2 linked regions of the Daphnia pulex genome follow. The protein of the gene in region 2 binds, or shares a complex with, the protein of the main gene of each other region. Links are inferred from orthologs where the notes say so. Each region holds a gene or a part of one and is shown on either strand. Other genes may lie near its edges.

Region 1 (16,618 bases), about 12 Mb from region 2:
CCCTCACCTTATTCAGTGTATGGATTCCGGCGAACTAACTCCATTCCCATCAGTTGAAAGTCGTGCAACAAGGACTCACGAGACTGTCGAAGCAGAATTATTGTATTGTACCTGTCGCAGGACAGGCTGGGAGAAAAATGGATTTGAGTTTATCGGATGTGACACGAATGGTTGCGACGGTTGGTTTCACAAAATGTGCATCAATAATTGTCCTAAAGATATGAATGATAAATGGTTTTGTATTAACTGTCAATTGTAACTGTCTCAAATAAACTTACTGTACAAAGAAATGTTGCTTATCACCATTCGTCCGTTTTCCCGCGCATACACCGACCAAGACACTGAGCAGCGTGCAAATAACAGCGGTGTCCTCACGAGTTTTCTATCGAGAAGACATGGCGACCTGGTCGTTTCCTTTTGATACGATCTACAGTCGATATAAGAGTTATTTTGACTTGGAGGTTGTAGGAAATTAGGCGTAAATCAACTACCATTGGCAGAATACATGGCCTAGCCAAAGTCATAGTAAATGACATCATTATGACTGGATGAAAGTCGAGGATTTTGGGATCAATAATGTTGGAGAATCACCATGTACAGCAGAAATTTATTTCCTATCATTCCCTCTTCATTAACACACCTATAAATGAGAAATAAGCATTGTTAATCAAACTAATTTCAAACACAATGTTCTATGAACCTGGTTACAATCAGAATGCCATCGTAGAGTGTATGGCCTGCTGGAAATCACCAAGTACAGCAGAGATTTAATTGCAATCATTCCCTCTTCATTATCACACACCTATAAATGAGAAATAAGCATTGTTAATCAAACTAATTTCAAACACAATGTTCTATGAACCTGGTTACAATCAGAATGCCATCGTAGAGTGTATGGCCTGCTGGAAATCACCAAGTACAGCAGAGATTTAATTGCAATCATTCCCTCTTCATTAACACACACCTATAAATGAGAAATAAGCATTGTTAATCAAACTAATTTCAAACACAATGTTCTATGAACCTGGTTACAATCAGAATGCCATCGTAGAGTGTATGGCCTGCTGGAAATCACCAAGTACAGCAGAGATTTAATTGCAATCATTCCCTCTTCATTATCACACACCTATAAATGAGAAATAAACATTGTTAATCAACTAATTTCAAACACAATGTTCTATGAAACTGGTTACAATCAGAATGTCATTGTAGAATGTATGGCCTGTTGGAAATCACCAAGTACAGCAGAGATTTATTTCCTATCATTCCCTCTTCCTTTATGCACACCATAAATATTAAATGTTAATCAAACCAATTGACTAACGAGAAATTGCGAATCCAATTGAACGAGGCAATTGCGAAGAAAGAGGCAAAAAGTTTTAACGAGGTGATGAGAGTCAAAACACAGAATCAGTCGTTATTTGATTTGCCATTCGTCGCCATAAATTTCCGGAGTGCAATAGCCACTTTTGACGCTAGAGGACTCCGGACTCCGGAGTGTAATAGCCACTTTTGACACTAGAGCGCTCCGGACCCCGGAGTGCAATAGGCGTGACCGTTTTTTTCTCTTTTTCGTTCACAATAATGGCGCGCAACGGTTACTCCTGGTGGCAGTTTTGTGCAATAATGCTTGAAAAATAAAACACTTTTTTGTATATTTTAATAAGGTTATTGAAGTAAATTCATTACAGAAAATTTGGAAAAATTTAATTCAATTGAAATTGCTTTATTTTATGACTAATTCTTCGATAAAATTGTATTTTAAAATTTTGATTGCAATTGTTGATTTGGCACTGTTGCTTTTTTCTGAAGTTTGAAAATTCTCTAGAATCGTCTTGTTTGAAGTCTGAGTGTCTTGTAGTTTGATTAGTTTGATTACTCGATTAAATATGAATAATTCACAAGAAATGTCGAATGAGATATTAAAAATTGTAGAAGAAGCTTCTCAGAAAATTTTGAATTCTCATAAAACTACAGATGGGGATGATTCCATGTCGAGAACAGCTCAGCAGTTTATGGAAGTATGAAACACCTCTGCTTATTATCATGATTCATTCTAATTTGTTTGTTTCGACTTTAGTTGTTTTCAAAGAACTTGACAACAGCCATTGAAATTGCTTTCGAAGGAGATGATGAAGCAGCAGCAGGCACAGAGATGAATTTAAAAGAAGGTAAAAACAACTTATTTTGCTATTGAGTATAACATCAACATCTTCCAAGACCAAATTAAATTTTGCAGATGAAGAGGAATACAATGAAGCTATTGAGGATGTCATCTATAAACGAAAACAAGGAACCAAGATGTGCAAAGACGTCCTAGAGAAGACACTGGCCATTGAAAAGAAGGCAGCGGTATGTCTGATCTAATCTTTTATCTGATTCATTGGACTTGATGGTTACGTTGTTTGTATCAGTTGGCTGTGGAGGTCAACCCAGGAGTAGTCAATGTGCAAGAGTTTGAGAGACAGCCAGTACCATACAAAAAAGAGGAACTCAAAGTTTCAACCAAGAAAACTTTGAGCAACATAAAGTCCTCTGCATTTAAAGTGCTTGATTTAAACCACCGGGTGGAAGAACTCGTAGAAGCCGCCAACATTATCTCAAAAGAAGTTGATGCTGTTGAATTTTGATCCACTTATTCAAATTTGTGAATGTCCCAAAGATGTATGGATACCAGGTATTGTAATTAAAATAAAATGAGTTATATGTTGGATTATTTTACATGTGTATTATTGGGGTAGTGTAGTTGTATCAAGTAATTTAAGTAATAAAGTGCGTTTCTAATACGCCACTGATATTATAGTAACATCAAATTGAGGGCAATTGAATCAATTCTAAAAATCTTTGGCCAACATGTTTGTATTTTTCGAAATGTCGATGAAAACAAATACTGAACATATACACACACATTAATTTTTTGTCTAAACTTTTGGTTTTTGTACTGTCGAGTCCTTTGTGGTGACCAATATAATCGAGGAGCAAAATGATTTAAAAATTTAAAAAAAAAGCCAAAATAAACAAACAAAATCGTGCGCGTGATGACGTCAATGCCCTGATAAGATATTAAACAAACAAAAAGAGAAATTGGACTCGGACATCAAAACCATATTCCTCAAACGGAGAAAAATGCATAGTAGATTTTGGTTGTTTTTTAAATGTGTGTGAATCTTTCAAAGACGGAAAAATGACCAACAGCAATTTGAAAAAGGAAAAGAAATGGATATAATAATAATAGAATGTTTGAAAAAAGTGCGTCCCGTGAAAAAACAACAGATTTTTATCCGTCAACAACAACAAGGGGGAAGAGCGACGCACTGGCTGCTACAATGGATGATGTATAACAAGAAGAGGAAGGGATTCATAATTTTTTGGTCAACAACTCGGGGGGGTTAGGTTGAATGGCGGAAATGGATATCGGGAAAAAAAAGAAAAGGTATCGAAAAATAAACCACCGGGTTATTTTGTTTTGGTACTGTTGTTGTTGTTGTTGTCTGTCCTCCAAAATATAATTTGTTTAAGTATATGTATAGAATATAAATCTGTGTGTCAACAGATGGACCATGTACGTGTGTGATAATAAAAGAAGAATGGGGAACCGGTATTGTTTTGCAATGAGAGAGGGTGGAGCTCAGGTGGTTAAAACGTCAAAACCGACGATAACTTTGCTGGGAGAACTACGAATGAGACTGGTGTAATCGGTGGCAGTTGAAGCATCTTCCTTGGTGCTATCGGCATTGTTATTGGATGAGTGCACTCCACCAGGAGCAGGAGCAGAGTCACCCGTGTCTGGCAGTTCAATTTCGGGAGTTGTCACAGCCACTGGAGTGACGGTGAAACGGGAGCGTGGGGAAGGTAAAGGCGATTGACTCGGTGCATCCACTCGAGTTACCTGGACAAATTGATAAATAAACTTTGAATAATTTTTAATTAAATTAGCACAGTAGAATGTCACCTTAAATCTTCCTCCGCTGGGTGAAGGCAGTGGACTGGGTGACGGACTGGGCGAAGGGCTGGGCAATGGACTGCGAAGTTTCCGCCTGGGCTGTTGATCATCTTCTTTGTTATTCAATGGGAGGAGCAGCTGCTTATCGCTCGGCGGGACCAGACAAGTGAGCGAGATTTTGCGAGACATGACCTCATCAGCATTGGCTTCTTTATTGTTGCTGGACCGCTTGTTGAGATCACTGGGCAGGCTGGACAGAGTGTCACTGTCGTTGGCTTCAGTCTCGTGAGATGTGCAGCAAGTGGCGATCTCTTCAATCAGACGCTGATACTCGGCAGCATTTTGATGGTGGCCGGAGGTAGTAGAAGGAGGAGGATCGATGGGATCCAAGTCCAGTTGGTTGATGGTCGGACAATGTTTGAGAGCAGCAGCCAGGGCCATCAATCCTGCCAGTGCGATCTGGTTTTTACGCAAATCAACCCGTTTCAATTGCGTTCCAGTAGCCAACGATTCGGACAGCGAAATGATCCCTGGGCACGTCAGTCCGTTCTCCTGGAGTCCCAAATGCAAAAGCCAACGGTTGCGCTCCAATCCAGATGGAATGAGTCCAATAATTCCTTCGTCGCCTAATTTATTATGACCCAAATTAAGTGTTTGCAGAGTCTGGTTAGTTGCCTGTTTAAAAATAATAAAGCTGTTTAATTATCGTGAAAGTTGTTTAATGTTGTAATTTAAAATGTACCAAAACTTTGGCGAGAGCGGGAGACGATTCGTGAGTGATACCGTTGTTCCAGACGACAAGCGAGATCAGTCCAACATTATCCAACAGAGCATCGCAAATGTAACCCATTCCTTTATCTAAAATTTCGTTGTTCCTAATATAAAACCCCAAAATTATTATCAAAATTTTGTTGTTTAATTAAATTTGATTCACCTCAAGTCTACGTGCTGAAGTGACGAATTTCCAGTCAACAAAATACCAAGCTGTAAGGCGTCGAAAGGCGTTAATTTGTTTTCGGCCAGGTGCAGCTCACGAAGATTCCGGTTCATTTTCAATGAACTTGCTGTTGAGTAACAACAACTTGTTATTGTGTTTTGTTGGTTTATATTTAAAAATTTTAGTAAACAATACCGATGATGGCAAGCGACCTTCCGGTGAGACCACAATCGTTCAAGTACAAAACCCTTAGGCGAGAGTTGGATCTCAGTGCCCTGGCCAGTAAAGTTGAGCTGTGTTCCGATAGCCCAACTTGAGCTGCGTCCAGCCATTCCAAACACTCGGTCTATATGTACGACACAATAACAAACGTGAGTCATGGGTTAAAAAAGATTGCACAGGAAAAACAATAACCACACCCTTTTGATCATGCGACAGCACGCTTGCCAGCCCCTGCTGGTCATGTTCTTGTTGGAGGCGATGCTCACATGGGTGGCTGCTTCGTAAAATTCGATCATGTCGAACAATGCAATCAGACCCTGATGATGGGAGAATATTACAGCATATGAATTAAACATTTTTCAGGCCATGTGACGGGACTTACATCATCACTGGAGTGGGCATCTCCAATATCCAAGAGTTTCAGAGGAACATTTTTCAAAACATCCTCCAACGATTCACAGTCATGGGAATTCAAGTTGCGTCCTCGCAACGTGAGGCTGGCCGAGCGTGGACGACTCAAGTCCAAAGTCTAACTTCCAAAAAGGGAATAAATTAGCATATATTTTTCCCCATTTTATGGGTTTGTACCCAATGACCTTTAACTGCTCAATAATGTGCTCAACAGGTTCAGCCTCGTTCTTCTTGCACGAAGAGGTGTATGCAGCAACAATGTTGATATCACTTTCTTCTTCGGTAAGGATACATTCTGAAATAATTTTAAACAAATTTATTATCTGGAAAGTTACAATACATAAAAGCCTCAATATACCTGGAACGTCAGGAACTGTGGGCTCTAGGTTCTGGACCAACTGGGTCTCGTCAGAAGGGAAAGAAACTCTCTTCTCCAACATCCTGCGTTTCTGCTTGATGCCTTCGAAGGGCAGGTCAGAAGACTCGTCCAGATTGTGAGAAAGATCAAGTTCATTTGGGGTTTCATTTCCCGTCTGACATGCACCTGTGAAACGTAACCTGCTGCTCCACTCTTCAATTTCTTCAGCCATCTTAGAATGAGTAGCGAGAATCATGACCCACACCTGTCAAGAGGAGTTGGACAAGTTGAGAAACGTGTTCGACGCAGAAAGAAGACATATGTTGGCAATAATAAGTCTATATAGCAACAAGAGTTCTTACGAGCGATCACCAGATAGCATTTCCATCCAACTGAAGCGAGTGCGTATAGATTTCCCCGATCAAAACCTCGAGTTGAAAATATTATTAAATGGGAATAACATGTATAGAGAATTGACACAGTGACCACGAGCACGACGACAAGCGAAAGGGGTATATGTAGCTTAGCGTTATATGTTTTTTTGTTGTTGTATGGCGTGATAAGTCTCGCAGTAACAAGGCAACGACCAATCAGCTGCGAGAGTAAGGAAACAACTGAAGAGCGGCCCTGTTACTGAGCTGTTACGTAGTCTGCACACAGCAGACCTTCATCGTTCGTTCGTTCGTTCGGACTTCGGCGGGAGTCATGAGAAATGACCGAGCGAAAAAAAGCCCCCCCACTGTCCCCCGTAGGGTGGTAGCCTATACGCTTTTCTCGTGAATTGATTGAGCTACGCTGTGTGGGTTCAGTGTACTCTGTACCGAAAAATATCGATGCAAAAATAAAGGGGAACACGCACGTGAAAGGTGTGTACCATTACCGTATTCCCCCTATAGCTCGTGTATTTTTACGATGCCGGTGTATACTTTAATAAATCCCATTGAAAACACACAAAGTTCTTGCCAGACTGACTGGCGCGCCTTGTACTTTCTCATCTCTTTTTCCACTTGAAAAATTTGCATTAGCGTAACGTATCATTAAAATGATAAGAGAGAGAGCTTTCGGCAAACATTTGCATAATGAGAGATTGCCACAGCTGTCTGGGTCACGTAGCAAATTATGTGAGAGGTGCAACAATGAAGACAAAAAGGGTGAAAATCGTTATGAAATTAAACACGAATAGCACATTTGTTTTTATTTAAAAACCAAGTCGAGTTATTTTGTGATTACAAGTTGCGCACATCTCCCGTGTATTCGCAAATGTCGTCGTAGTCTAGTTGGAAAACTTCATCGCGATCCGGTAGAATCTGGACGGTGGCCGTGTATCGTTCCTTGTCCCTTTCAATCACTTGGCAGACCTTTTTATTAAAAAATAAACAAGTTAACAAAAACAACATGTGTGTAAATTTCAGCTAACAACCTGTCCTTTTCGTTTGCCCTTGACGACCATGACGTAAGCGGGATCGCTACGCGGAATGACAGTTTCCAATTTAGAAATGTTGACGTTTTCCAAAAGTTTCCCGTTTTCGGCTTTGCAAATGCAATGATTCTTGGAAATCACGTCCACCACAACCATCTGGAATTCATACCAATCGGCGTGAGAGAAATTCATCTTTTATTTTTAGGACATTTTTATTTACTTTCTGTTTGTAGAATTGGCCGTCCTTGAATGAAGAATCGACGCAGCGGACTCGCAAGAGTGGGTGAAGCCAAGGTTCTCGTTTCTCGTCAGAACCTTTCGACGACCGATTTTTAGAACGAGATTCTTTCTTCTCATCACGGCGCTCCCGACTGCCACTCCGACGACTACCTTTTTTAAAATAAAAGGAAAAAATTATTATAGTGGAATTTCATTACAAACTGATTAATTAACAACGGGAAATTCTGACGGTACGGGCTGGGCGGCTGGCACGAGAACGCCAATGATAAATGTAGGAAAGCGTGACCTTGGGTAGGAGGAGCTAGACAGGACAATCTATCACTACTTACGATGGCTAGGACTATGCTTCCGTTTCTTTCTGCTCTCGCGATCATTTCTTTCCTTCTCGTTTCGCTCCTTGTCCTGTTTCGTTTTGTACTCGTCGTATTTTTCCTTGTCTGAGAATTAAAAGAAAGATGATTAATTTCAAGAAGAAATTTGGCTTGAAATAGATTTAATTTACTCAGAATCCTGGCGGAATCACGATATTCTTTAGCAGAAACTGGTTTCAGAAAGAGCTCGCTCATTTCCAATTCGTTGCTTCCGACAGCCATCCGCACCAGAGCACGACCAGTGTTTGCGTCCATGCTAAGAACCTGATGAAACAAATTTAGTTATAATTTAATGGCAGATTTTAATAGAATTTTTACTTACTTGTCCATATAAACCTTGATGTTTCCCGCTGAGCAACTGTACATTTGCACCGATAATCACTTTGAGCTCTTCTTCGCCTTCTTTTGGCTTTGTTAAAGCTTTAGCTGCATTTTCTAAAACAGTACGGTCAGCCCCAAGACCAAGTCCTTTAGGCCTAAGTTTCACCTCCATGGGAGCAGCCACTCTTGATTGAATAAAAGATAATTTGATGAGAATTCAGAACCATTAATTAATGTGAAATATGGCAATGATACCCTTTTCTAGAGAGACCGATACCCTCTGAGGCTTTCCAACCCATTCCTCTCAACATGGCCATTCCATAGGCTTCCACTGGGATCGCTTCATAATCATCAAGTGTGGACTAGAGAGAAATGTCAAGAGTTAATTACATAATTAAGGTGCAGTTGCGAAATTCAGTACCTGATCTGCACGGAGGGAAACATCTACTTTTTCATCTGTTTCAAAGCCAGATGGAACACGATTTTGCATAAATAGGGGGATATCAATGTTGGAGGGTACGCCATTGCCTCTGTTCTCCCAGCCATCAACAGCCTTCAGTGTTTCTTGCAGGATTTCTTTTTCGGCTTGCTTGTCCAAGTCTGATGCTTCTGTGTTCTCGGTTTTGGTATCACTGCCAGGGGTCCTCCACCGATTCTTTGTTATAAGAGGAATAACCAGTTCCTTTTTGGGTGCTTTTTTGATGGATCTAAATAGAATAATGCAGAAAATGAATGTAAAATTAATATTTTGTGGCGGGAAAAGCAACATACCCATTGATTTTGTTGTGCTCGACAGTTTTGACGAAATCAGTCTCTTCGCGAGTTTCTTGAGTCGTATCCAATAGTTTCGACTGAGTTAATTTCACGTTATCATGTTTCTTTTTTGAACTAAAGGCAAAAGACACACCAGGCTTGGTTTCCGACATAATGACACACGAATACGTTAATATCAAGGATTTCCTTTTCGCTCAGAAGATGTCTTTATGGAAACAACAAAAAAGGTGGGGAGACGCAAGCAGACGAACATTGAAAAATCAAATCAGACAACTGCCGTGCATTCTGCGGTGGTATTATAACTACGCGTAGCTTCTGCATAATTTTCGTGTAATTAAAATATCTAATTAATTCGCTAGGCGAAGGCGATGTTTCGTCGTTTTAATTAAATTGTCTGAAGGAAAAATTCAATTATGTTACTAGGCAACTGCAACTGATTTGATTTCATCCTGCCTGACGCTGATGCCGCCAGGCCACAGCCGCGGTTGCCTCTAGTGCCTACTTGACTTTGATTAAAATGTAACCGAGTACGTAATTAAAAGGAAATGGAGCACGAAGATGAGAAGATGATATCATGGGCTCATTTTGTAACTGCCTGTAGCGTCACGCAATGGAGATGCTCGCATCATATTGACAAAGTTGTAAGGCTTCATCAAAGAATTGAGGTCACTATATATTGATACTGATGCACGTAGACCATTGAAGTGACATAATCATGTGACACAATCAAGTATATTTATTTAATAAAATCGAACGACCGGGGCCTTGATTTTTTTGTAGGCTGGTTCCGAAATTGACCAATCGTAACCTTCGGTGTAATCTACCAGACACTCGCTAGATGTCTGCATCGGACGAGTCAAGCAGACGACAAAATAAAACTCTAGAACAAAAATATTTACGCATTTACGAGCATCGACGATATTTGTTCATTCCAAAACAACTACGTACTGCCATAGAGTGTTGGGTTTGATTTCGTCATTCACTCCTTCCTCTATGGTACTACTAACACAGTGCTGTGACATAATTCCAACCGTATGTTATTACAAAACACATTTATCCTGACCTGAAATTTATTTGTACCAAGTGTCTTGCTCCCATTTCTAGGAAAAATAGGGTTAAGGTTACTCGACAATTTGTTGCTTAACTTGGAATAGATTGGCTGTTTTCCCAAATAGTAGTTTATTTTTAAAAAAAGATTGATTTCATTTCGTTCAAGGTCTCCATGTAGCCACTGGCCCTATAAAAGGACAACCATTCGAGGTTGTATTAGTAGTAGAATAACCCCAAGAGACGATCTTTCTAGTCTGTAATTTTCCATTACGACGACGACATTTCAAATCTTTTACCAAATTCAGAAGGCCGGCAATTTAAATGTTTTAAAAGTTACCTCCAAGCGTTAAAAAAAGTCCCCGTATACAACAGGTAGTAAAAAAAGAAGAAGGGCGTCGATTTACCCTTTCTTTTCTCAATTAAAAGGGTCATTGACGTTTGTTAACCCCCCTTCGATTTAAAACGGTGAAAAAAAGAGGTCTTTTACGGTCAAGGTCATCGACTGTCGTCCGCCAAACCGAGGAACTGCGTTCGACTTGTTTGCCTTTTTCGCCAGTGCATTCTGAACAATGGTGCGACTCGTACGTCTTTTCTGCTTGTTCATCTCTTCTGCCACTTTTGGACTTGCCCAAGTTCAATCTCTTCCTCCGCCATGTCCAAGGTAAATTTCATCTATTTCTGTGTGTGTTGGCAATGATTAATCTTTTCGTGTTTCTCTCAATAGTCCCATTTACTGTCACGGTCCACTCTTGCACACGGTTCAGATGGCCAAATTGTATCACGACTCCAAGACTTTTGTCGACAAGAAATTACGTTTCGACCCAGAATTAGTTGCAGCCAATTTCACTCAACTGATGAACCTTACAGACAATAGTCCATCCCAAAACGATCTCGTCATCTTCATCAGTCAACATTTCGAGAGTGAAGGATCAGAATTTCAACCGTGGGATCCTTCCGACTGGCTCGACAGCCCGTCATTCCTTCAAAATATCAACAACACACAATTGAGAAATTGGGGGAAAGAATTACATGGAGCCTGGAAATTCCTAGGCCGACAAATTAAAGGTACAATGCAAATTTTATTACAAGTTTTCCATTTTTTTAAATGACACATTTGTCGTAATTCTTATATAACAGATGACGTCAAAGAACGCCCCGAGCTATACTCGATGATTTATGTGCCTCATCCTTTCATCATTCCTGGAGGAAGATTTCGTGAAATTTATTACTGGGATTCTTACTGGATCGTCCAAGGTCTTCTCATCTCTCAAATGAACCACACGGTTGGGTCTAAATAATTTTCTCTAAAAGTTTAAATCAATATTGACAAAACTTTTGATTATTTTGTCTATTAGGTGAGGGGAATGTTGGATAATTTCCTGCATATGGTGGATGTTTACGGCATGGTCCCAAATGGCGGTCGCATCTACTATCAGCTGAGGTCGCAGCCCCCAATGTTGATTCCCATGGTGGATCGTTACATCAACGCCACTGGGGATGTCGAATTTCTTAATGGGCGGTTACATCTCTTGGAAAAGGAATTTCAATTCTGGATGGCCAACAGGACAGTCTCCGTCAAGGGACACACTTTGGCGAGGTTTAATGTCGAATCGGATGGACCACGACCCGAATCTTACATGTAAGAATTCCTTGATTTAATTCGTTTTTAATAGAGGTTAAACACATTTTTCTATCAATTCCCAGTGAGGACTTTCATTCGTCTGCCCACATGAGTGAAATCGATCGTCAAGACTTTTACATCAACATGAAATCGGGAGCTGAATCCGGTTGGGATTTCAGTTCCAGGTGGTTCATTGTAGACGAAGGTCACAACGAAGGCAATTTGAGCCACATTAGTACCCGCAACGTCGTGCCGGTCGATTTAAATGCCTTTGTTTGCATGAACGCTCGAATGCTTTCGGAAATGTTCCGCAAAGTCGGAGATGACAGAAAGGCTCAAATGTATCACGACAAGTACATCGAGTGGAAAAGAGCCATTCAAGCGGTTAGAATAATTCATTTTTAACCCAATTAAATTGATTAATTAACTTTTGATTCTTTTTTCTAGGTGCTGTGGAATGAAGAACAAGGCATCTGGCTAGACTACGATTTAACTAATAATTTGCAACGACCATATTTCTACGCATCGAATATCGCTCCGCTATGGGCCGGTTGCTTGGATGCCACTCCATCCGGTGGCGTAGACTCTGCTGTTGTCCACAGAGTGATGGATTATCTGGAGCACAGTCAATCTACAAAGTAATAATGATGATGTTGATTATTATCGATGTGTTTGTTCACGTTTTTCTCGACTTTTCGATTTTTTCTTTTTAGATTTGCCGGAGGAATTCCGACATCCATGCAACACACTGGCCAACAGTAAGTGTCTTATTGACCCTACGGTTTATCTACTGAAGCCTAAACAAATATTTGCCTTGTTTTTCAGATGGGATTTCCCTAATGGGTGGCCGCCCCTGCAACACATGTTGGTTGTCGGTCTTGAAAATACCGGTGACCCCAGAGCCAAAGCCTTGGCCTTTAATCTCGCCCAAAAGTGGCTGATTAACAATTACGATGCATATCAACAAAGTATGCCCAACGCCATGTTTGAAAAAGTACGTCCAAGATAGTCTCTGATTTAATTTAAACGGTTCAATTTTTTAACAAATTCCTTTCCATTGGTTGTTTAGTATGACGTGACTGTTGTTGGACTACCAGGAGGTTAGTTGAACAACACAATTAATTTTATTCAATACCCTTATTAATTTATCAATTTTTGATGTGCAGGTGGTGGTGAATACGACGTTCAGCTTGGCTTTGGTTGGACGAACGGTGTCATTTTAGATTTCCTGCACATTTATGGTGATCGATTGGTGACTGAACAACCGACAAATACTTAATTATTATGTAACTATCTGATTTCAGTTTTTGTGATGAAGAGAAAGAAAGAAAAACCACTATGATTGTAAAATTTTATTGACTATTTTATGTAAAGTAATTTCTTTTCTGTTTGGTTAATTTCCCTGTAATCCTTGTTACATAATTTGCATTATTTTGTGTTCCCGATCCTAGTCTCATCGCCATATTGTACATGATTTCAATTTTTTGTAATTTTTCTTCTATTTTTGGGTTTAGAATACAAATTGTGCACTTACAAACCAACTGAATAATTAATTAATTAACAAATCAAAATAATTTGAATATTGCGCCAGAGCCATTTTAGTAAATGTGGCAATGTTCAAAACGTGATAATCGTCTAAAATGTAAACATCAACGTCACTTCTTCAAACCTGTTTTGTTAGACGATTCAAAGCTTTGCAAACAAGTGGCCGCCAAGATGTTGGAAAAATTAAATTCTTGTGGGGATGAATTTATTACCAGCTATTTGCATCCTTTATTTGGTGCAAACAATGATTCAGAAATGTTTTCCCAAATGGTCTGGATTTCATTCTTCTACACCCTTAGTGTCGCTGTTAGTATGGCCTTATTTCCAGCACCATATGGTAAATTTAGTAACTTGTTTTGAGTATTATCAAAGTAACCATTTTTTCATTAAAGGACGATACAGCAGCTCAAAGTATGGCTTCCTGCTTCCTGCAAAAATCGCTTGGATAACTCAAGAATCTCCATCTTTCATAGTGCCAGTCATTTTATTGCTGACTACATCTTCAGCGTTTTGGAATTCCACAGTGAATAAAATGCTCTTGATAGGGTTTATTATACATTACGTAAACAGGTAAAAGTTCTTAATTATTCCTTGTTTACTCAAGTTCTTTTTGATAAACCGAGGTTGACTATATCTATTTCAGGAGTATTATCTTTCCCTTGTGTGCTCGTGGCAATGAAGATACCCCTTTTATACCATACATCTCAGCAATGGCATTTTCCATTTTCAATGGGTTCATGCAGGGGCATTACCTATTAAACTATTATCTGTATGATGAACAATGGCTAACTTCTCCTCAGTTCATCATAGGTATTTTTAGGGTACAGGAAAATTTGAAATAGATTTTATTAATGTACCTTTTGTTTTTTCAGGATTCACCATGTTTTGTGTTGGAATGGCCATCAATATTCATTCAGGTACATTGATAAAAAAGCACTTAATAGAAGAAGTTAAAAGTTTTGTAACTTATTTTCAACAGATCAGCAACTGATTCACTTGCGCAAACCTGGAGAAACTGGGTACAAAATGCCTGTCGGCGGATTGTTCGAGTACGTGACTGCACCCAATTTCTTTGCTGAAATCATCGAGTGGATCGGTTTTGCCATTGCTTCCTGCAGTCCTCCAGCAGCCGTTTTCGCTTTCTTCTCCACAGTCTTCCTTTGCTACAGAGCATGGCACCATCACCATTTCTATTTAAAGAAATTTGACAACTATCCGCGATCCAGAAAAATCATCATTCCATTCGTATTTTAAATTGTTGGAGTGTTTTGTTCTTTATGTTTAAAGTAGGAGAAATCTAGATGCTATGGCCAAATGTTTTTATGCAGATCAAACATAATTTTCAGAATAAATTGAATCAAAGAGATTCGGTTCTGTTTTAATCGTGGTAAAAAATTACGTACATTCATTCTGCTTTACAATTGAAACTAGAAATGTGTATTTGACCAGCAAATGGGTAAGATTAGATACTTCAAAAGGTCAGAACAAATTGATTAACACATATTTTCGACTTTTGAAAAATAGTAATCAGCTTCTTTAGTACGGCGGTTGACGAGTTCTTGAACAACTTGGCCATTCACGTAAACCCATCGCAAACATTCGTCGCGGATAGTTGGGTTGTCAGGGCCAGACACGCACCTTTTTCAAAAGAGTTGAAGTCGAGAACGCTCCGGTTCCGATGTTGTAAGTGATAGAGACTAGCGCGTCGAATTGAACTTGTCTTATAACAACTCCGGTTCCAACTAGTCGGTCAACCTCTGGGGCGAACTTTATTTTTAAAGAATTCTAATTTAATGCTTACTTTATTCGCGCTAATTATTAAAACTCACTGATTGATCCACCCAGTATTGAAACAAATCATCGGCTCCTTGCTGAGTGATGGTGTCTCCTTTAATTAATTAATTAATTCGCTATGGTCGACCTGGGTCCGCATCACTTCATCTTTGATATCGAATAAAGGTACACAACTGATAATATTGACACGAGCAGGTTAACGGCGGGCGACGCTGATGTCGATGATGGTCACACAGTTTAAGTTCGTGGAGGAGCTCAACGTTAAGAGCACAGACTCCCCACCTTTGACTCAACTCTACCGACCACACCCTTTCGCTAGATCGACGGTGCCAACAACTGAACAAACACAGCACAGACCCACACACCAGATGCAATCAACTCGTCAAGTAGGACGTATTTTTATCTGATGTTAGTTTAACGTTCCTCTGCATACGTATGTGCAGCTCGACGAGGATTACGCGTTATTATGTTCCCAAAAAGATGACGCAATACCTAGTTGCAAATAAAACAATATGTTGTGACCCTATGTTGGTCTGATTTGATCACATTTTCAAGTTCAGATATAGGCCTAGCTACTCTCGGGCCGACATTACATAATATAGCACCCACAATCATAAATTTACCTTTCTTATTACGACAACAGCGATGTTTCTAATGTCTTGGCTGATTTTGACAGTTTGAGCAGCGACAAATTAAAAAGTGGTGTTTAGTTTAGATTTAGAACTGATGCGCAGGAAGATTTTACATACCTGCCAGACTATGTGTCACTGGTGTCACCAGGTGTCACCCAAATGACCCAATGACATGTCATTGCAAATACGGCAAAATTGTACTTTTAATATTGATCTAGTGTTTTTTTCCCCGTGTCGAAGTCATGGCAGACAGGTTCATAATTTAGAATTATAAATAGCAAAAGAAAAATAGTAAAGTAAACCAAACCCCGTCATATCATATGAGTTGATGTATTAGCGGTATTAATGTAATCATTTTCAAAATTTCATTTTTTTTTCTTCCAGATTTTTAAAAAAATCTTGTTTTTGCCGCTTAATTTCCCTTCGGTATCTAATTCGGTTTGGCAACATGACAGCATTGCCAACTTAGCCTGTGGCCACTAAATGGCTCCTCCTTCTTCCTCCTTCTCCCCGCCAAAAAAAAAATGTCAGCAGTTAGTCAGCAGCAATTTACGGTCACGTCGGTCAGCAGTCAGAGCCTTTGCGTTAGTTATGGAGAATTAGAAGATATCTTGTTGTGTTAAGTTGTGTATCGAGACGAAGGCTATGAATGTTGAATGCTTCACCAGCTTCAATCAGCTATTTCTGTGTTTTGAATGGTAAATTACATTAATTTCAACTACAGTAATTTTTTACAGAATGTGTGGGTCCTAAACTTGATTGATTCCTTTCACCATGTGCAGCAGTGCAGTTAAATAGTAGCTGATATCATGTGACATCTTTCTGCAATGATATGTTCATTCTGTTCAGCACAATGTTGTGTGGTGATTCAATATTAGTCATGCAGGACTCCGATTTAAGTTATGCAATTCAGATAAGTTGGTTGGTGATTATTGTATTATTAACTATAATGTCTTTTTCATGATGTTTGGATAGTGAT
Region 2 (16,154 bases):
TGTGTTATCCAGTTTTTTCTCACTGTGAGTTTTTGGTGTCTTTAAATTTTTGAGTGGTGTATTTTTTAAGCAATCTGGCAAACCATTGGGTGATGCCTATGTGAGTGGAAACGGGGAAACCCTGGCTGCGAAGTTGTGAAATCCTATAAGATGGTAGTGGACATTTCTCGACATCAGTAAGAAGTAAAACAGTGCCAGTGCCAGTGCAACGTCACTTTGCGCAAGGTAGCTAAGGCTAAAGTTAAACCATTTTCTAAAAAAAATCGTGACTCATTAAATCCAGGATAAATGTAAGAACTATTACTGGAGAGGAAGAAGGAGATTCTAAGAACATCAGACCATAACTTTAATGATAAATTATTATATAGCGGGGGATTCCTGCATTCATAATTGTGCTTCATTATTGTGCAGCTCTTAAATGGAGCTTGCGGGAACTGGCAGAATTACCGTTTTCTGAATGAGCTAATAGCTGCATGTGAGAATAGAAAAAAAATCTGATCCAGTACCAGATCAGCCTTCTCCAGAGTTATACCGTCCGGTTAAAACAGCTCTAAAAATTTAGAAGACATGTGGATTTTCGCAGTTCCGTTTTACCTTCGACGCATCAAGATAATAATAGGTTCAATGTTTTTGATTTCCTTATCGTTTACCTTGTGGATTCGGGTTGCAGTGATTGCCGAACCGACAACCAAATTTCCTTTTCATAGTTTGTGTTGCGATTCACATCAACTCTTGTCTGAAGATCAAAAATGTGTCGGCCTGGTGCTGGGTAGCGCCAACCCATTAGAAGAATTAAATACCTACACGTCTGAATTAGTGATGGACCCTTTATTTCAGTGTACTAATGTTGATGGTTCGAAACTGTTGTATTTCACTACCGGGGAAATATCACAGAACGGGACGATTGTCGAACCATTTTCCAATCGAACTCTTTTAAAAGGAGATTACTGCGTTCAGCCGTCGACGCGGATGGGATTGACCGCGGTCCTTTTCTGTCGCCGCCCAGTTCAAATAAGAAAGTGTTGTCCTTTGGGACAGTTGATCAATCGCACATCGATCGATCAATGCGTCGTTAGCAACCAAGACGGACCACCGTCACAACTGGCAGTGACGTACTTTCTCGAATCGACAGCAGCAGCCAATTATTATGGTGCGGATGACATCGTAGTTCAAGATAATGCTTCGCTCCAATGCGATTTCGATTACAACGTCTATTTGCCGGGCTACTTTATCGATCACGGATTTAAAGTCAGTCAGGAATTGGGTCTCTATGTCAAGAAGGCCGCTTACGGGCCCATTCGTCACTCGAAAAATTATTGCGTCGATAGCACTGTGTACGCAAATGGGACGGAAGGCGTAAGTTTAATTTTATTCTTCTAATCGATTTGTTATGAAATTTGTGTACAGTATTTTTATTCCTGCAGCCCATAGCAATGATTTGTCTGCCGAAAAGCTTCTACGTTATGCGTTGGCTTTTGAACAACGTCTACTCGATTTTCAACTTGATTTCAGCTGTTCTTTTGCTCATCACCTTCCTGGTCCACTTGCTGCTGGCCTCACTGAGAGAGAACATCCAGACCTACTCCATGCTCAGCTTCTTTGCTTGTCTGATTGTCATGCACTTCCAAAACGGCATCTTTTTACTCTCGAAGTACGAGCCGCATACCTGGTGCTTAAACAAAGGTGCGAAAAATGTGTCATATTACTGCCGTATTTTACTTAACAATGCTATTTGGACTCGGAAAATATAGCTTGCATAAGCGGTTATTTTCGGTACGCTTCATCCACATGGATCACAGGTACAAGAATAAATTTCACACGGAATTGGACAAATAATAAAACGGTTCATTTATTGCACAGTGATGGGATACAACATTTTCCGGCAATTAAGGTATGCAATAACAACTTACTACCAGCAGGTTTTACAGTAATACTACTGGAATTGTTTCAAGGACGAAGATATCAAGAAGATTAAACAGACGCGAGCTGATGAAAGCTTACTTCTGTCGCTGCCTGTATGCCTGGGGACTGCCATTGGCTTTGATTTTGATTTCTCATTACTACAAGGAATACAACGGATGCCCAACCAAATTGAAACGCTGCTGGTCTTGCGATTCTGTCTGTAATACCCTTAAAATTACAACATTTAACATTAGTGCTGTTAATGAGATTATACTTTTACAAATAGCTAGGAACCTTTCGCAAGCGCCCAATATTCTCCTCCTGACCGGAAATTTAATCTTCTTCATTCCAAGTGCTGCGAAAATTTACAAGAGTCTAAGTTTTCTTCAGGGATCGGTACCTAAACATGCGCTGAGTAAAGTGGAATCGAGCCGGTGATTATTTATGTCTCAAATTACTTACACCGATGTGTAATCTTAAATTCGACCCTACTTTATTATTTTAGTATCCACACGATATTTCGGCTGTTCGTTCTCATGCAATTCTACACAGCTCCGAGAATTATTCAGTGGTTCGTTGACTCCGATCGAGCCCATCCCGAACTGTTGATGCTCTGCGCCACCATTTTCTTAATGATCGGCCCGTCCATCTTTTATTTGTTCGTTTGTCGACGCGGAACTTTGAACATGATCAAAGCTCACGCGAGCAGTTTGATTTGTCGTCACCGACACAAGTTCCCGTGGCTTCATTCGCAGACCTACCAAGTGAACAACGACGGCACTGCAACAAGCACCAACAACTCCGCAAGATCAACAGTGAGCACTATTTCGTCAGGATTGGCTCAGCATTCAGCTAGCACTTATCGGCTCTACCCCATCGATAAATAATTTCGGCATTCGGCATGTATATTTACCCTACTTATTACACAATTTGAACTCGAAGAATTTGATTAACTATATACTTTCAACTAATAAAAGTGTAGCGTAGTACGAAATCGAATTTATTTTTAAAAAATTATGAAATTAAACTAGAGTCAAAATAGAGATTAATGTTCGTGGATAGCAAGCGGCTTATTCGTCCACGTAAAGACACAAAAGGTGTATTGTAGGGATCACTATTTAGAATCCTTCGCGGAGAGAATCAGCCGCAGCTCCAATCAAAAAAGAAATTGCGGAAAGGTGTTGCTTGATTTGGCGCCAAGTATTGGGCTGCTCCGTCCGGTTACCAACGGTCTTGAATAAATCTACCAAGCCCGCAAAGGTGTCACTTGAGTATTTATCCACCGAGCTAGGAGCGAATACGATGTGACTGCCAAAGGAAAAAAACATTACGAGACAATTACAACGCAATCCTCGAATTATATTTATTGTTATGTCCATACTTGAATTCCGGACGTCCGGGGAGACCGTGGGGATCGACAAACCCTCTTTCGAGTTGTATCAATTGATCGTTGATTTTACGAATGGCTAAAGGACTAGAAAATAAAGTTTAAATTAAAATTCAATTAAAAACCCCTAGCGCTTATTACTTGCTCCTGTCCAAACGTGGTAAAATGGTGTCAGTGAAATATTCGGTGGAATTCCTGAAATGTGCAACGGCTTTCCTGAAATATTCTGATAAGAATAATGGTAAATTAACTCAATTAAAACAATTTCAACGATTCTGTGTGTTACCGAAAGTGGCTCCGTTAGCGGCTGCCAAGCTTTTGTATCTCGACTCGATTTTGTCAAGATCTTTTTCCAGAAAACTGGCGTAACTCACAACGTCAAATGGAAGAACCACCGACTCACTGAGATTCAAGGTCAATTCGGTCATCTGAAATGTTAAGAATTTTCTTGACGGTTGCATCATCATAAGCTAAATGAAGTGCCCACATACCAGCCGAGCAACGGCAAGGTGAAAATGAAATCCCGGATCCATTAAATTAGCAACCGCGTGATAGGTCTCGTAGAGAGTGTGATAAAGGGGGTAAGATCCAGCTTTCTATCCAACAAAAAATTATCGTCGATTAGCGCAAAGTTAAAATTATTTGTCATACTGGCCACAAAATATTACCTCCTGATAGTCGTAGTATAAATCGACACAAGGAACGCCCAGAACATGGCTGAAAACGGTGTAATCACTTCCGCTTCCTAAATTACCTATGCTACACTCGTTGGCATATAAAATATTAGAATAAGATTCCAATAATAAATAAAAGAACTTACCGCGGTTGGGTAGGATTGTTGAGATCAGGATTGGCCCACAACCAAGTATCGAAAACCGTTTTGCGTCCGGCTTCCACTTCCGCTGGATTAGGATTGGGCACCACTTTGGCCGCCTCTCTGATTGCAGAGTATAGCGAAGGCACTGTTTGACTCTTTAAGGTGTAATTTCCTTTGGTTCCAACGAAAAGGTCAGCACTGATTGTGTGTTTTGTGATTCATCAATTACCTTCCATGGCGGAATCGACATTAATGTAGGCCACTGCACGTTGAATGAGCACCTTTGCGTGTTCTTCGGCCCATTCGTACGAGCCTATCATGCCGTATTCTTCAGCTCCCCATCCGCAAAACATTAATGTGCGCCTTGGACGCCAGCCTACATAATACATCGTTACGTGATTGCAACTACAGAGCAATTAACGCATATTAGATGTTATTACCTGATTGCATTTTGATATTGCCGAAAGTGCGGGCCATTTCTATTAAAACTGATGTCCCACTGGCCGGATCAATGCCTCCAAGAGTCCACGAATCCATGTGATTGCCAACTAACACGTACCTGTCTTTAATTCAATCCCAAAATGGTTTTGGATTATCAGCAAAATAATTGTGTGTCAAAAATGATTTTACCTGGTTCTTCTCTACCGTATAATATTCCAATCGTATTATAGGCTGTAGCTAGCTTGTGGGTCATTCTTACCTAATTGGGAACACGTTTGTGAAAAAATTAATTGGCAAATTACCAATTTATTTTCGAGCTACCTGTAATCGAACGGACCATTTCCTTTGGGTGAATTTCGACCCCAAAAAGTAAGTTGCATTCAAACCACCTTGCCAGTCTTCCGGTGCAGGATTTTCTGTAGACATGGATCTAATAAAAATAAGAATGGAAATGAAATTCATTGACTATATTTGTATCAAAGGTTGTTGACACAACAAAAATGTCAACGCTCACACACCTTAACAAAACTTCTGCCTCGTCGTATCCGATGGGCTGAACAGGAATTTTGGGTAGTGGAGCTTCAGCTTCCGGCAGTCTGTAAGCGCCCTCTTATAACGTAAATATAACTGTTTTGTTAGTCTTATTGTGTTATTATTACTCTTGTTACATCCGCTCACTATACAGCTTTATATACCTAAGGCTGGGTACAGAGGGGTCAAAGGGTCGCCGTAACCCAACAGAACTGAACCACTTTGAACAGCCATGCCCGGAAGTCGCGTTGTGTTGGGATAGACAGATGTGCGCCCTTCCGGGGCGAAATCTTTGGGATCAGAAAAGAGTATCACTCCAAGAGCTCCTCCATCTTCGGCGGATTTCACCTGTAGTACAAATATCAAATGTTAGTAATAATTCAATACATTTTTAAAAATAATTGATTACGATATTGCCACGAAAAATCGCCCCATATCGAGCAATCACAATTCGACCACGAATGTCTATGCCGAGAGATTTCAAGTACTCAAAATCTTGTTTCCGACCATAATTTGCGTAAATGAGTTCCCCCTATGAAATGGTGTAATTAAGTTAAGTGTCATCAATAAAACAACGATAGAAATTTAATTTCACCTCGACAGTTCCGTTAGCTGAATAAGCGTTAAAATTGGGTTGAACTAACGGAGAGAATTCTTCGCTGGAAAAGAGTGGCGTCTGACGTCCTGAGGTGGTGAAGTTCACCTTGCCGTTGGAGTCGAGTAGCGAGACCTGATTGGGGTTGCTCATGTCTGGGTAGGAAAGCAGCACCTTGTAAGGAACCAATTGGACTTCGTCTAATCCTCCCTCGACGAAACGATCGCGCACCCAACTAGCCACTTCCAAATCCTGTGGAGTTCCAGCTAAATTCGGTATACTGCTCAAATATCTGTGACAATCATTTTGGGAGTTAATTAGACAATGAATCAAATTTGTCTTTTGATTAGCGATGATGTTGGACTTACTTGAGATATTCGCCAATATTTGATGCACTGAGCTCCTCCATCAAAGTGGCAGACATTTTCGCCTTCTGAGGCGACACGTCGTCCCTATCATTTCCGATAGCGTAACGACCGATGAGAATTCCTTTGTCAGGTGGAAAGATGAAGTCAAACCAACACATACAGTAACATTTCAAATGATTACGATACCTATGATAAGACAAATTACAGAAGCCGTGCAAATTAAAATCCAGTTGGGTTTTTGCGCCATCGTTTCGCTGCGATCACTTCTCCACACCCTTCCGTTCTCGTTTACTGTACCTCAAATAATAACGACGGTTTGAAAAGAAACAGGTTATTAAATAGCTGAAAATATGACAATGAAAGCACGGGAAGTGCGGGTAGAAAGTCGGGTTCGAGATTGCGTGTTCCATATGCAGCGGCACGCAAATACCTGGACAGTAACTAAGGTGATTTGACAAGCCAACCAGACCATCGGTTGCTTGTGGTTTAACACAAGACAGGTCGCATGCTTAACTGACGGGTGACTCTTGTAAAAAATGTAAACGCCATAGGCAATGAATACATTTCTTTAAAATCGCTATTACATAAATCTATTTTTTTTAAACAATTTTTTTTATTTTGAAAACTTCCCGATAGATGGTGTATAGTTTCACGCGTTAACCATAGGTGGAGCTTGTATTCATATTTCGTGTGAAAGCGTTGACAAACGCGAGGGATTACGGTTTGTAAATATTCCCCTGAAATTATTGTAAAAATGAGTGCTCCTATGAGCAAATTAGAATATCTGAAAAAGTACATGTCCTCTTCGAAAAAAGAAGAAAATAAAGTCAAGAAAAAGAAACTCAGGCCCTTACTGAAAGCCAAAGGGTAAGTCAGGCTTTTTGTGAACTTTAGACAATACACATCATTTTTTAATTTTAACTTAAGCTTTTTCTTAATCTAGTCAATTTGTTTTCATTTACTTATTAGGGGCATCAAGATCGTTGATGAAGAAATAGATTTGAGGAAGATAGCTGCAGGATACGAGAAAGATGAAGACCAAATTGACAACCAAGAAGATGCTCCTCTGGTGGCTGGGGTTGTCGATAATCGTTCCATAGAAATGATAACCAAACAAGACTTTGTGGAAAGTTCAAAGTGGAAGAGACTTGGTGTGGATGAAAATGACAAACCAAAATCCATGTCTAAATCAAGTGATCGAGATATTGATTCAAGTGACAGTCACTTACCAAGGAAAGATTCCACTGCCTTGAAACGACCAATCACAGTGAAGAAAGAAAGACATGATTCAGATTCAGATCCCAGTCCTCCACGTAGAAGACACGATTCTGATTCAGATGCCAGCCCACCTAGAAGAAAGCGCCATGATTCAGACTCTGATCCATCTCCACTTAGAAGAACGAGAAAAGACTCTGATCAAAGCCCACCACGAAAACGTCACGATTCAGACTCAGATGCTAGTCCTCCTCGAAGAACAAGGAAAGACTCGGATCAAAGCCCACAACGAAAGCGACACGATTCAGACTCGGACCAAAGTCCATTAAGAAGGCGTAAAGGCTCCGATTCCGACCAGAGTCCACCAAGAAAGCATCAAAATGCTGACGGTGATCTCAGTCCTCCGCGGCGGAAGAAAAACGTTGATTCCGGTGCCCAAATGCGCATCAAACCAGATCCAGACGGAGACCTCAGCCCTGAGCGTCCTAATAAATCAACATCACGCAGCGGAGGAGCTTCGGAGAAACTGACCAAAACCCTAGATGGAAAGATGGCCGGCCTTCAGACTGGCAGAGCTTTGCGTGAGGAGACTGATGCATTACGCAAGAGAGAAGAGGAAGCCTTCCGCAAAATGGACAAATCACTCACTGGGCAGAACGCCACGACTGCCATCCGAGCTGGCAAGCTGCGCCAAATTGAAGCCAAGCAACAGGTTGATAAAGAAAAAGCCGAGAAGATTGCCAAGCTGCAAGAAGCTTACCAAAAATGGAACAAGGGTCTTAAACAAGGAGAAACGCATTCGACGCAAGTTGCCGAAGCCATTCACGAAATGTCCAAACCGCTGGCTCGTTTCGCCGATGACGAAGATTTGGAAAGGTTGTTACGCGAACAAGATCGTGAAGGTGATCCCATGGCTGCTTACATGGCCAAGAAAAAGGTCAAGAGCGGTGGTGACGGCAAGGGGAAAGCCGCTAGACCTGTCTACAGGGGCCCTGCTGCTGCTCCCAATCGTTTCGGTATACTACCCGGCTACAGATGGGACGGGGTTGACCGCTCGACTGGCTACGAGAAGATGTACTTTGAAAAACAAAACAACGCCGTGGCCCTTCAGGAGGAAGCCTACAAATGGAGTGTATCCGACATGTGATTCCGATGATGAATTTACCTTGACTGAATAAAGCCATGCAATTACTTTTAGTAGCCAATGACGCCTGTCCTTGTTCTTAACATTTCCCTTTTTATTACCTCGACGGAATGGGGCCCATCCATCAACATTCAAAATTGCAGGGTTTTTTTCAGATTCAACGAGAGGCGCGCGGAGGAAATTCCATGCGGATGGCGTCAACACTTTGCACATTTTCCGAGTCGCGACTCTACCAGCAGTTCGTGAAAGTTGCCCAACCCATGTTGTAGAGGAGGTGCGGCTATTCATGAATCGTCCGTCGTGGTTGAATCGGAAAATTCTATCCGGAAGATGACACCCTTTCCGGCCTTGGCTGCCTTCAAATCATTTTTCTTCTGTTGTTCAGCAGCAGAAAAAGAAAAGAAAGAAAAGGCGTTGGGGTCGTTTCTGTTGAGTGTGTCGAGTGCGCTATGGCCAGATGGCGCTTTGGCTGAGTGTGTCGAAAGAGAAGGGAGGAAGGTCACGGCACGAAGTGGGCCGGCCGTTTTCAGGTGTGCCCTGTTGTCCGTGTTGTCTATGTTTCGGGGCTTTCTCTCTTCTCTTTTTTCTTGTGTTTAGTCTCCTCCTTTTTGATTCCCAGTTTATCCAGACCTTCTCTCTTTGCCGTCTCATTCTCTCTCTCTCTCTCACCACTGCTAAAGCCATTGGCCATTGGCTCGCACGACGAGACGAGAAAACATCACATCTCTTTTCGTCTTTTGAAAGTACCTACGCAGCCGCTCTTCTCCGAGCTTCAGTCTTGGTCGTAGCCACCTGGTAACACGGCCGCTGCTGGTGCTCAGTCTGTACCTCTTTGCTGTTGACTCTCTGGGTTTTTTGCCATTGTTGTGAAACGAGAAGAAAATTCCAGATTTGCAATTATAGAACTGTCGGATTGTTGTGCAGAAGTGAAAAATGCTGCGGATACTCGGCCTCGTTTCCCTCTTTTGCATCCTCTTCCAAGCTGCTTTGGCATCCAATTCTGAGGTAAGCACAATCATTCGAAAGAGTATTTTATTTTTTTTTCCCCATTTCTTCTAAAAAAGGATAGGCTTATTTATCTCAAAACGGTCACCAGTAAATCCTGTTAGGAATTTGTGTTTTTTTTTCTTCCTACCAAGCAGTGGCATCTATGATACGGGTGAAAATTCTAATCTTCTTCACGGCCTGGTCGTCACGTTAATTCTTTTTAGTTTGACCCATCTGTACAGTCGAAATCTTTTTTTCGTATGGAAATGTGATGGTTTGTTTTGTGTATACTTGTGTGGGTTACTTATTCCCTTCTCTGTTTCTTTTTTTGTTGGTATAGGAAAATGCGCTGGATATGAGCTTGGGCGAAGGTACAGTAAACACAAAGCATTTTATCTCGACAGAACGTTTCGAGTTGTCTAGAAATTTATTGATGGGATCTTGACGATGAATAGATGAATGCAGTATGATGGTATGCCGGGCTGGAAGAGAGTGTAAGGTGGGTGCCGATGGCGAGGCTGCTTGCGCTTGCCTGGCCACTTGTCCGGATCATTTTGTCCCCGTCTGCGGCAGCAACAATCAATCCTACGATAACTTTTGCTTGATGCATCGCGATGCCTGTCTGACGGGCGTTCACATCAGTCTCAAGAAAAAGGGATACTGCTCCAACAAGTCGATCAAGAAAAAGTCCAGCAAAAAGGATAAACTTAAAGATGAAAATCACTTTGAGCCAGGTAAGTTTTATTCAATATTTATGCTTTTCGTGATGGACAAAATATTCAAATGCTGTGCTTTTTTATTGGGGGGAAATCCAGTGGTGTGTTTCCAATGGGAAAGGGATGCTCTACGTCGCCAAATCATCAACTACTTCCGGCATCATACCGCCGACCAGAGCTGGTACCGACCCGACTTGAAGAGTTACGAGAAGCAGTTTGCCCGTTTCTTCATGTGCGATACCACCAAAGACAACTTTGTCGATGCCAACGAATTAGCCGCTTGCGTGACTGAAGTCCCTTTCGCTCTGCGAACCACGGCCGCCACCAACGAGCTGGTCAAGTAAGTTTCGTCTTAATTTAAAAAAAGCCAGCTTTATTCCATTCATGGAAAACATTGTTTTATAATTTGTTCTACTTGTTAGAGTGTTGTGTGTCGACGCCATAATCGATTCAGCCGATACTAATTCCGACTGGCGGTTGGACTTTGAAGAGTACAAGACTTTGATGGATTCTAGTTTCCAGCCGAAAGAAAAGCGTGAGTTATTTGAGACGTGTTTTGTGTAAAAATCGGGTTTTTCTTTCATTGCTTTCCATTTCCATTTTATAGTGTGCTCTTTGGAGGGCAAAAAGTACGAGGACGGCTCCCAAACAAAAGTCGATTGTAATGACTGGTCAGTTTATTTTAACGTTACAGACTATTAACGCGTGTGGAATGGCGATTTCATTGAGTACCGTTAATAAATTAGTGTCTGCGCCTGCGGCAGCTGGGTGTGCTCTTCCAAGAAGTGTGACGAAGAGCTGAACGAAATCGACGACCTGGATGAAGACGAAGATTTGGACGACGAGTTGGACGAAGCTGAGGACCAGAGCGAAGACAGCACCAAGGACGAAGTCAAGATTCTCAAAATTGAGGAGGATATCGACCTGAAAATTGACGATCCGGATGAGGATCAGCCACCAAAGATCAACTCCGACGATGACGACGATATGGACGACGAAGAAGACGAGGAAGATGACGAAGAAGAAGATGAAGAAATCGACGTGGAGCCAATCAAGAAATCATCTAAAAACAAGAAGAAGAAATTGACGTAATATTTTGGGTCTATTAAGTCTTCTTCTGTTTAGCTTTTTTCCCCATAGTTAGCTTCTGCTTTTAACGACGTCGTCGCGTGCCATTTATGGGGAGCTACACTCTGCTGGCCTCATACTTTACGTACATTTGTTTTTTTAATTTCTACATTTTTTAAAAGCCCCAATTGTCAGTGCGTTTTCTCGCCTGGTGCTGACATTTACGAGTTAATTTTCTTTGTCTTTATTCCACCATCGAGCTAACATAATACCTGGGTTAAATTCCACTTGACGCTTTCGTCCCTACGGCGCTGTACAATACATTCCCCCGGCAATCGAAGTTCTACGCTCCTTGATGTCGAGTCAGCTGCATATTTTTTCTCGGATAATACTCTCCTAGTTAAAGGCGGACATTGATGCATCGATCGGGTGGCGAAACAACATTGCATCGCCGGTGAATGGGTGGGGATGTATCCGTGCCCTGAAAGGCGGCCCCTCGACCAGCTCACGCTCATTTCGTTTGTCACCTAGGTTTGGTGTTGCGACGAGTAATATATACTGTGTTATCTGATAGAGACAGTCTCACAGAGAAAGCAGAATATTTAACAAGTCTATTTCGGGTTTGGTTTAACCTTATTTATTTATTTCGGTGTGTAGTCAGAATTAGTTTTTGTGGCCAACACATGTTTTCACAGTGAATAATAGAATCTGTTTCGCTTTTTTTTTGTAAGTTTGTGTGGGCGGGTGAGATTTCCTTCAAAGGAGGTATACCTTTTTGGCGGCGTCGTGATCTCTTCTTTATTTAAGAGAAAATGGGCGATGTTTAAATTAAATAACCGCCATGGCAGTAGCCATGGGAAACGGGCGAAGAAGAAGAGTCCCGAGTTGCCAAAACACGCAAACCTCTTGGTCATTATTGCCCCTGGATACGCAAGCCTGTTTCATCGTGAATGCACGATGATTGCTTGATGAGAATACGGGAACGAGGATTGCAACGGAGGGTCTAGTATTATTAATGCAAGTAGAAATAGTTGTGTGTGTGTGCAAACCTTGCACGCAGATGTTGATCATGCATTTAGCTAGATTGCTTGAAATGGTCTAAACAACAATATATATCCTTGTGCTTTATTCGCATTTTCTTTCACTTTTCATTACTGGATTGGACGCCTTTTCAACTTAAAAAACATTTCATGGAACGGATTGACGTAAAAACTGGGACACTGTGAGACGAGACGGGTTTCAAATGTCATTTTGGACCTTTCCACACTTCTTTGTAAATGACTAATGCGAATAAACTTGAACTAGAAAAAAAAGGAACACGAGAAAGAAAAGAAAATCTCTTTGCAGAAGCAGAGAATAAACTTAGACCGGCTGATTAGGGGAAGGAGAGCACCACATGTCTCGGAGCTGACTGACGGTAAAAGGCGTGCCCATTTCTTCCGGATAGTCACTGTCCAGTTTGGCTCTCTTTTTTGGCGTTGGCAACTGGCGTGACCCACATTCCTCCAGACTTTCTGTCTCTAGATCCCAGGGTTGAGCGTGTTTGAGATGGCCAAAAGATGAGTTTGCCTCCATGTCCTCGACTGGCGGCTCCTGTTCTTCATTATTCATTTCGTGGCAGTAGCGAAGCATCTACAGATAACACGAGAGAGAAAATTGAAGATGAAAATTCGAGCGATAATAGCTTATACAGAAATTCTTACTTTGATGGTTTGGCGAAGAGTTGGAATCCGATTACAGAGCGTTTCCACGGGCAGCGTAACGAGTTCTTTTGCGTCAAAGTGCTGGGCGATTAACGGCGCAGTCACGGCATTCAATTGCGGAATATGAAGTAAACGTTTGGCTTCGGTACTGAGCGGCTGCAGATGGGATTCAATGTCTTGATTGATCTCGTCTAATGCAACGTCTTTGATGATGAACGCCACTTGATGATAATTTAGGGCTATGCGTGGTTTCAACAGAAACCGGGTCTCAGTCTTCTTGCGATCTTTCTTCTCGTAGAACCGGGCTAGTCCAGCGAGAGAATGCCATTGTACAGGCGGTTTGGACGAACTGATCACACCTGGGGCCAATATTATCACCCAGCATTTCGTGCATTTGAAACTGGCTGTCAAAATTCTCAAACGGGTTTCCTCAAACTTTTCTTGTTCGTGCACGATCAGCAGGGCTGTGTTTGCACTTAACAAAACATCGGGTTGATACTTGGAAATGTAGCCCAAAAATCTAAAGCGAAATAAAATGTAATGATTAGAATTGTCCATTACAATGATAGTCTAATTATTTACTCGTAATCGCATTCATGAATTATGAAGATTCCAGAATTATCATCTGCTTCAATAGCTTCCATAAGTTCTGCATTAGTCGCCAAATGTGAAGATAAAACCAATGGAAGAAGAGGCTCGATCGATCCAGAATTATCATCTTCGATATCTGCAACTGAAATTCGGTCGATTTCATTGGTAATAATTGGACTCTTACTAAAGTCTTCTTCTTCTTGGCTCTCTTCATCAGAAAGTTGTGAAACAAAACAGGACTCGCCGGGAGGTTCGATCGGAATTGCATCATGAATATGAAGGAGGAGCTCATCTTGAGAATTGATTAAAGGTTCCTTGTTGGCAGTCGATTCGACTTGTTGTTCGATAAAGATTTCAGAACCGTCTGAATCATCAGAGTCATCAACTTCGGGCTCCTTGAAAGGAGATGAATCTAAAGGGTGACCTGTGGATGACATTGACACGAGACAGGCTTCTACCATGGTTTGCTGGTCAGGAATGTTCTCCGCATCTCCCGGGCGAACTGGTCTGCTAATCTCTATTGCCTTTTGCGTAATTCGAGCAAATTGCCTGTCCATCTCTACCGACGGCCATTCGTAATGGATGATGAGAGAAAGCATACTAGCAGGAAAGCTTTTGGACACTTGTTCCGCGACGAAGACGGGATAATTACCACTCGGTAAAAATGACCCTTCAGATTCAGGACACTCAATTTGCGGATCCACCTGGCACTGGACGTCGACGCTAGCCAACAGACGTTCAATACGTTCAGCTATTATGTTTGAATGACGATATAGGCGAATCCAAATTTTGCTATTGTCATCTTCGCTGAGCTGACGTAACACAAGCTCCTTTAATTTCACCAGTTTAGGATGACACTCGTCGAATCTTTTTGGACGAAGCCGTAAGAGTTGCAATATTAAAGTCTTGTAGTCACCTGTTTCAATAACGGAATGGATTAGTGAATTTGTTTTTCAAATTAATAATTCAATTAATTACTTTTCAGAACCGCTTCGTGGGTTTTTTCAAAATTCGCAAGTGTTCCGTAAGCAATATCGTAGTCTATGTTCAAAAAAATATCGAGCGATTTGTTCACTCCATGCAAACTCAGCAAAGCGGGTAATATGTTTTTCAATATTCTTCCTGTAATTGTTTTATTTTGATTAAAATGTTCGATTTTGTTTAACGTTGATATTGTACCATGATTAGTTTTGCCACCGGGATCTGAATTGTTTTTTGCAATCGCTTCCTGTAATTTCAAGAGATAATGGCGGGTAGTTGTGGGCTCGATAACCGAATGAGATTCCTTCAACAGATCCTCAATGAGCGGAGAGTTTGAATCCTTTAAAATGTGCAAGCATGTCGATAGGTGTTCCTCCATTAAGTGTACGGAATTGACCGCAAAACCTGCCAAACTGATATTAATAAATGCTTCACAGCAAAACGAAAAACATAATAATAATAACCTGGCAATTCTAGAGTAATGCGCTCGATGTTGATCGACGTCTGGTCCGATTCTGCAGCATGTTCGTCGCTATTTATGACCTACAAATTGTGCCTCAGTTAAATTTACCGTTTATTATAATGCGATAATGAGTTTACCTCTAAATTAATTCCCCCACCGGGATTGTCAAGTACCGACCCCTTCGCTTCACCATCTGAAACGATGTTTAGATCTTGAACTTGACTAGCAAGCTCTAAAAGGTAATCACAGGATGGTGTTTCAGGATAAGAAATTTCTTTCAAATTCAGTTTCAGATTAGCTAGTGAAAGACAAACTTGAGGCGGGAAATTTTCATTCGATATGGCAGGTAGCAGACGAGGCGGATTCATTTTCAGAGGGTCCTAGTTGAAATATAATAGTTAAGATGGTAAATTTTGCAATAATAACAGAATAAGATTATACATCAAACTGCAGTGGTTGACATGCAACGTGTTTTGCTTCTTCATACAAAGTATTGACTGGAAAGTTCTCTTCACAAATAAGACCACTGAAAGGCTCACATTTCGCTATCTGGAGATCTTTTGTAGATAATATTTCAGGGTTGAAATCCCAATTATCTGTAAACTCTGTGTTTAAGTTTGGGTCCCTGTAATATTCAATCTTACACAACTTAAATTTCTGGTAAAAAAATGTGTAAGAAAACTTACAGCCGAGGAGGAGTAAGGGCAAAGTTTAAAGTAACTTCTGCATCATCACGATGACTATCATGCTGGAAATAATTCTCTTCTAGCCTGATAGAAATTGTTATAAGATACATAAGTTTTTAATTATAAAAAATATAGTACAGTGTGATTTCCAAATCAGATTGTTGCTTGAAGAACTGTTGATAATCAACTTGACTTATCACGTCAGTTTTGGTCCAAGTTGGTCGTAGCATACTGGTGCATTTTTCGTGCATAGACTTCAATGTTGATGAGTAAAGATCTTTAAACTGATAGTCACCACATCCAAATGTAGGATTGATAACAGTCTTTTTCATTTTTAACCAAAACAGTGTCTATGTTAACAAGAAAAATGAAAATACAAACAGACTTATTCAAGGTAACATAACTCCACGTGTGATTTGAATTTCAGACGTATTAAACGTTTACCGACAGATGGCGAAAGTATTCAGTGGGTATTGTTCTCATTCTTGGCGCCTATATCGCGAAGATCGGTGGTGCAGCAATTGGCGCCTTCTTTGATAACGTGTTCGTGACTTTGGTC

What was found.
Region 1: BUD13 homolog (region 2) and G-patch domain and KOW motifs-containing protein-like share a complex: the UniProt entries of both Homo sapiens proteins name them as parts of the minor spliceosome. The link is inferred for Daphnia pulex from reciprocal best matches to the Homo sapiens genes BUD13 and GPKOW.

The regions. Positions count from the first base shown.
Region 1 is NC_060019.1:130,792-147,409, forward strand, and holds G-patch domain and KOW motifs-containing protein-like, read right to left. Parts: upstream 9,247-16,618; 5' UTR 9,150-9,246; coding exon 8,995-9,149; intron 8,931-8,994; coding exon 8,645-8,930; intron 8,586-8,644; coding exon 8,479-8,585; intron 8,409-8,478; coding exon 8,225-8,408; intron 8,167-8,224; coding exon 8,034-8,166; intron 7,969-8,033; coding exon 7,861-7,968; intron 7,682-7,860; coding exon 7,512-7,681; intron 7,448-7,511; coding exon 7,292-7,447; intron 7,230-7,291; coding exon 7,098-7,229; 3' UTR 7,040-7,097; downstream 1-7,039. Other genes in the region: uncharacterized protein LOC124189688, read left to right, coding at 1,890-2,021, 2,081-2,171, 2,240-2,352, 2,415-2,630; protein phosphatase 1 regulatory subunit 37-like, read right to left, coding at 3,629-3,889, 3,953-4,618, 4,686-4,818, 4,878-5,007, 5,076-5,226, 5,300-5,419, 5,485-5,631, 5,699-5,808 and 1 more; trehalase-like, read left to right, coding at 10,617-10,708, 10,772-11,112, 11,185-11,330, 11,403-11,686, 11,752-12,052, 12,116-12,306, 12,382-12,426, 12,494-12,662 and 2 more; 3-oxo-5-alpha-steroid 4-dehydrogenase 1-like, read left to right, coding at 13,385-13,550, 13,606-13,783, 13,857-14,023, 14,086-14,130, 14,193-14,467. UniProt on the Homo sapiens protein: RNA-binding protein involved in pre-mRNA splicing. As a component of the minor spliceosome, involved in the splicing of U12-type introns in pre-mRNAs.
Region 2 is NC_060019.1:12,600,987-12,617,140, forward strand, and holds BUD13 homolog, read left to right. Parts: upstream 1-6,772; 5' UTR 6,773-6,795; coding exon 6,796-6,908; intron 6,909-7,010; coding exon 7,011-8,403; 3' UTR 8,404-8,456; downstream 8,457-16,154. Other genes in the region: probable G-protein coupled receptor Mth-like 4, read left to right, coding at 568-1,356, 1,425-1,683, 1,752-1,799, 1,861-1,891, 1,953-2,122, 2,189-2,336, 2,408-2,789; glutamate carboxypeptidase 2-like, read right to left, coding at 3,021-3,210, 3,284-3,376, 3,431-3,515, 3,576-3,717, 3,781-3,885, 3,958-4,048, 4,110-4,278, 4,336-4,482 and 9 more; follistatin-related protein 1-like, read left to right, coding at 9,334-9,405, 9,728-9,758, 9,843-10,121, 10,203-10,443, 10,526-10,638, 10,711-10,774, 10,850-11,195; uncharacterized protein LOC124191303, read right to left, coding at 12,534-12,803, 12,875-13,394, 13,457-14,381, 14,444-14,587, 14,645-14,851, 14,911-14,989, 15,047-15,289, 15,351-15,534 and 2 more. UniProt on the Homo sapiens protein: Involved in pre-mRNA splicing as component of the activated spliceosome. As a component of the minor spliceosome, involved in the splicing of U12-type introns in pre-mRNAs.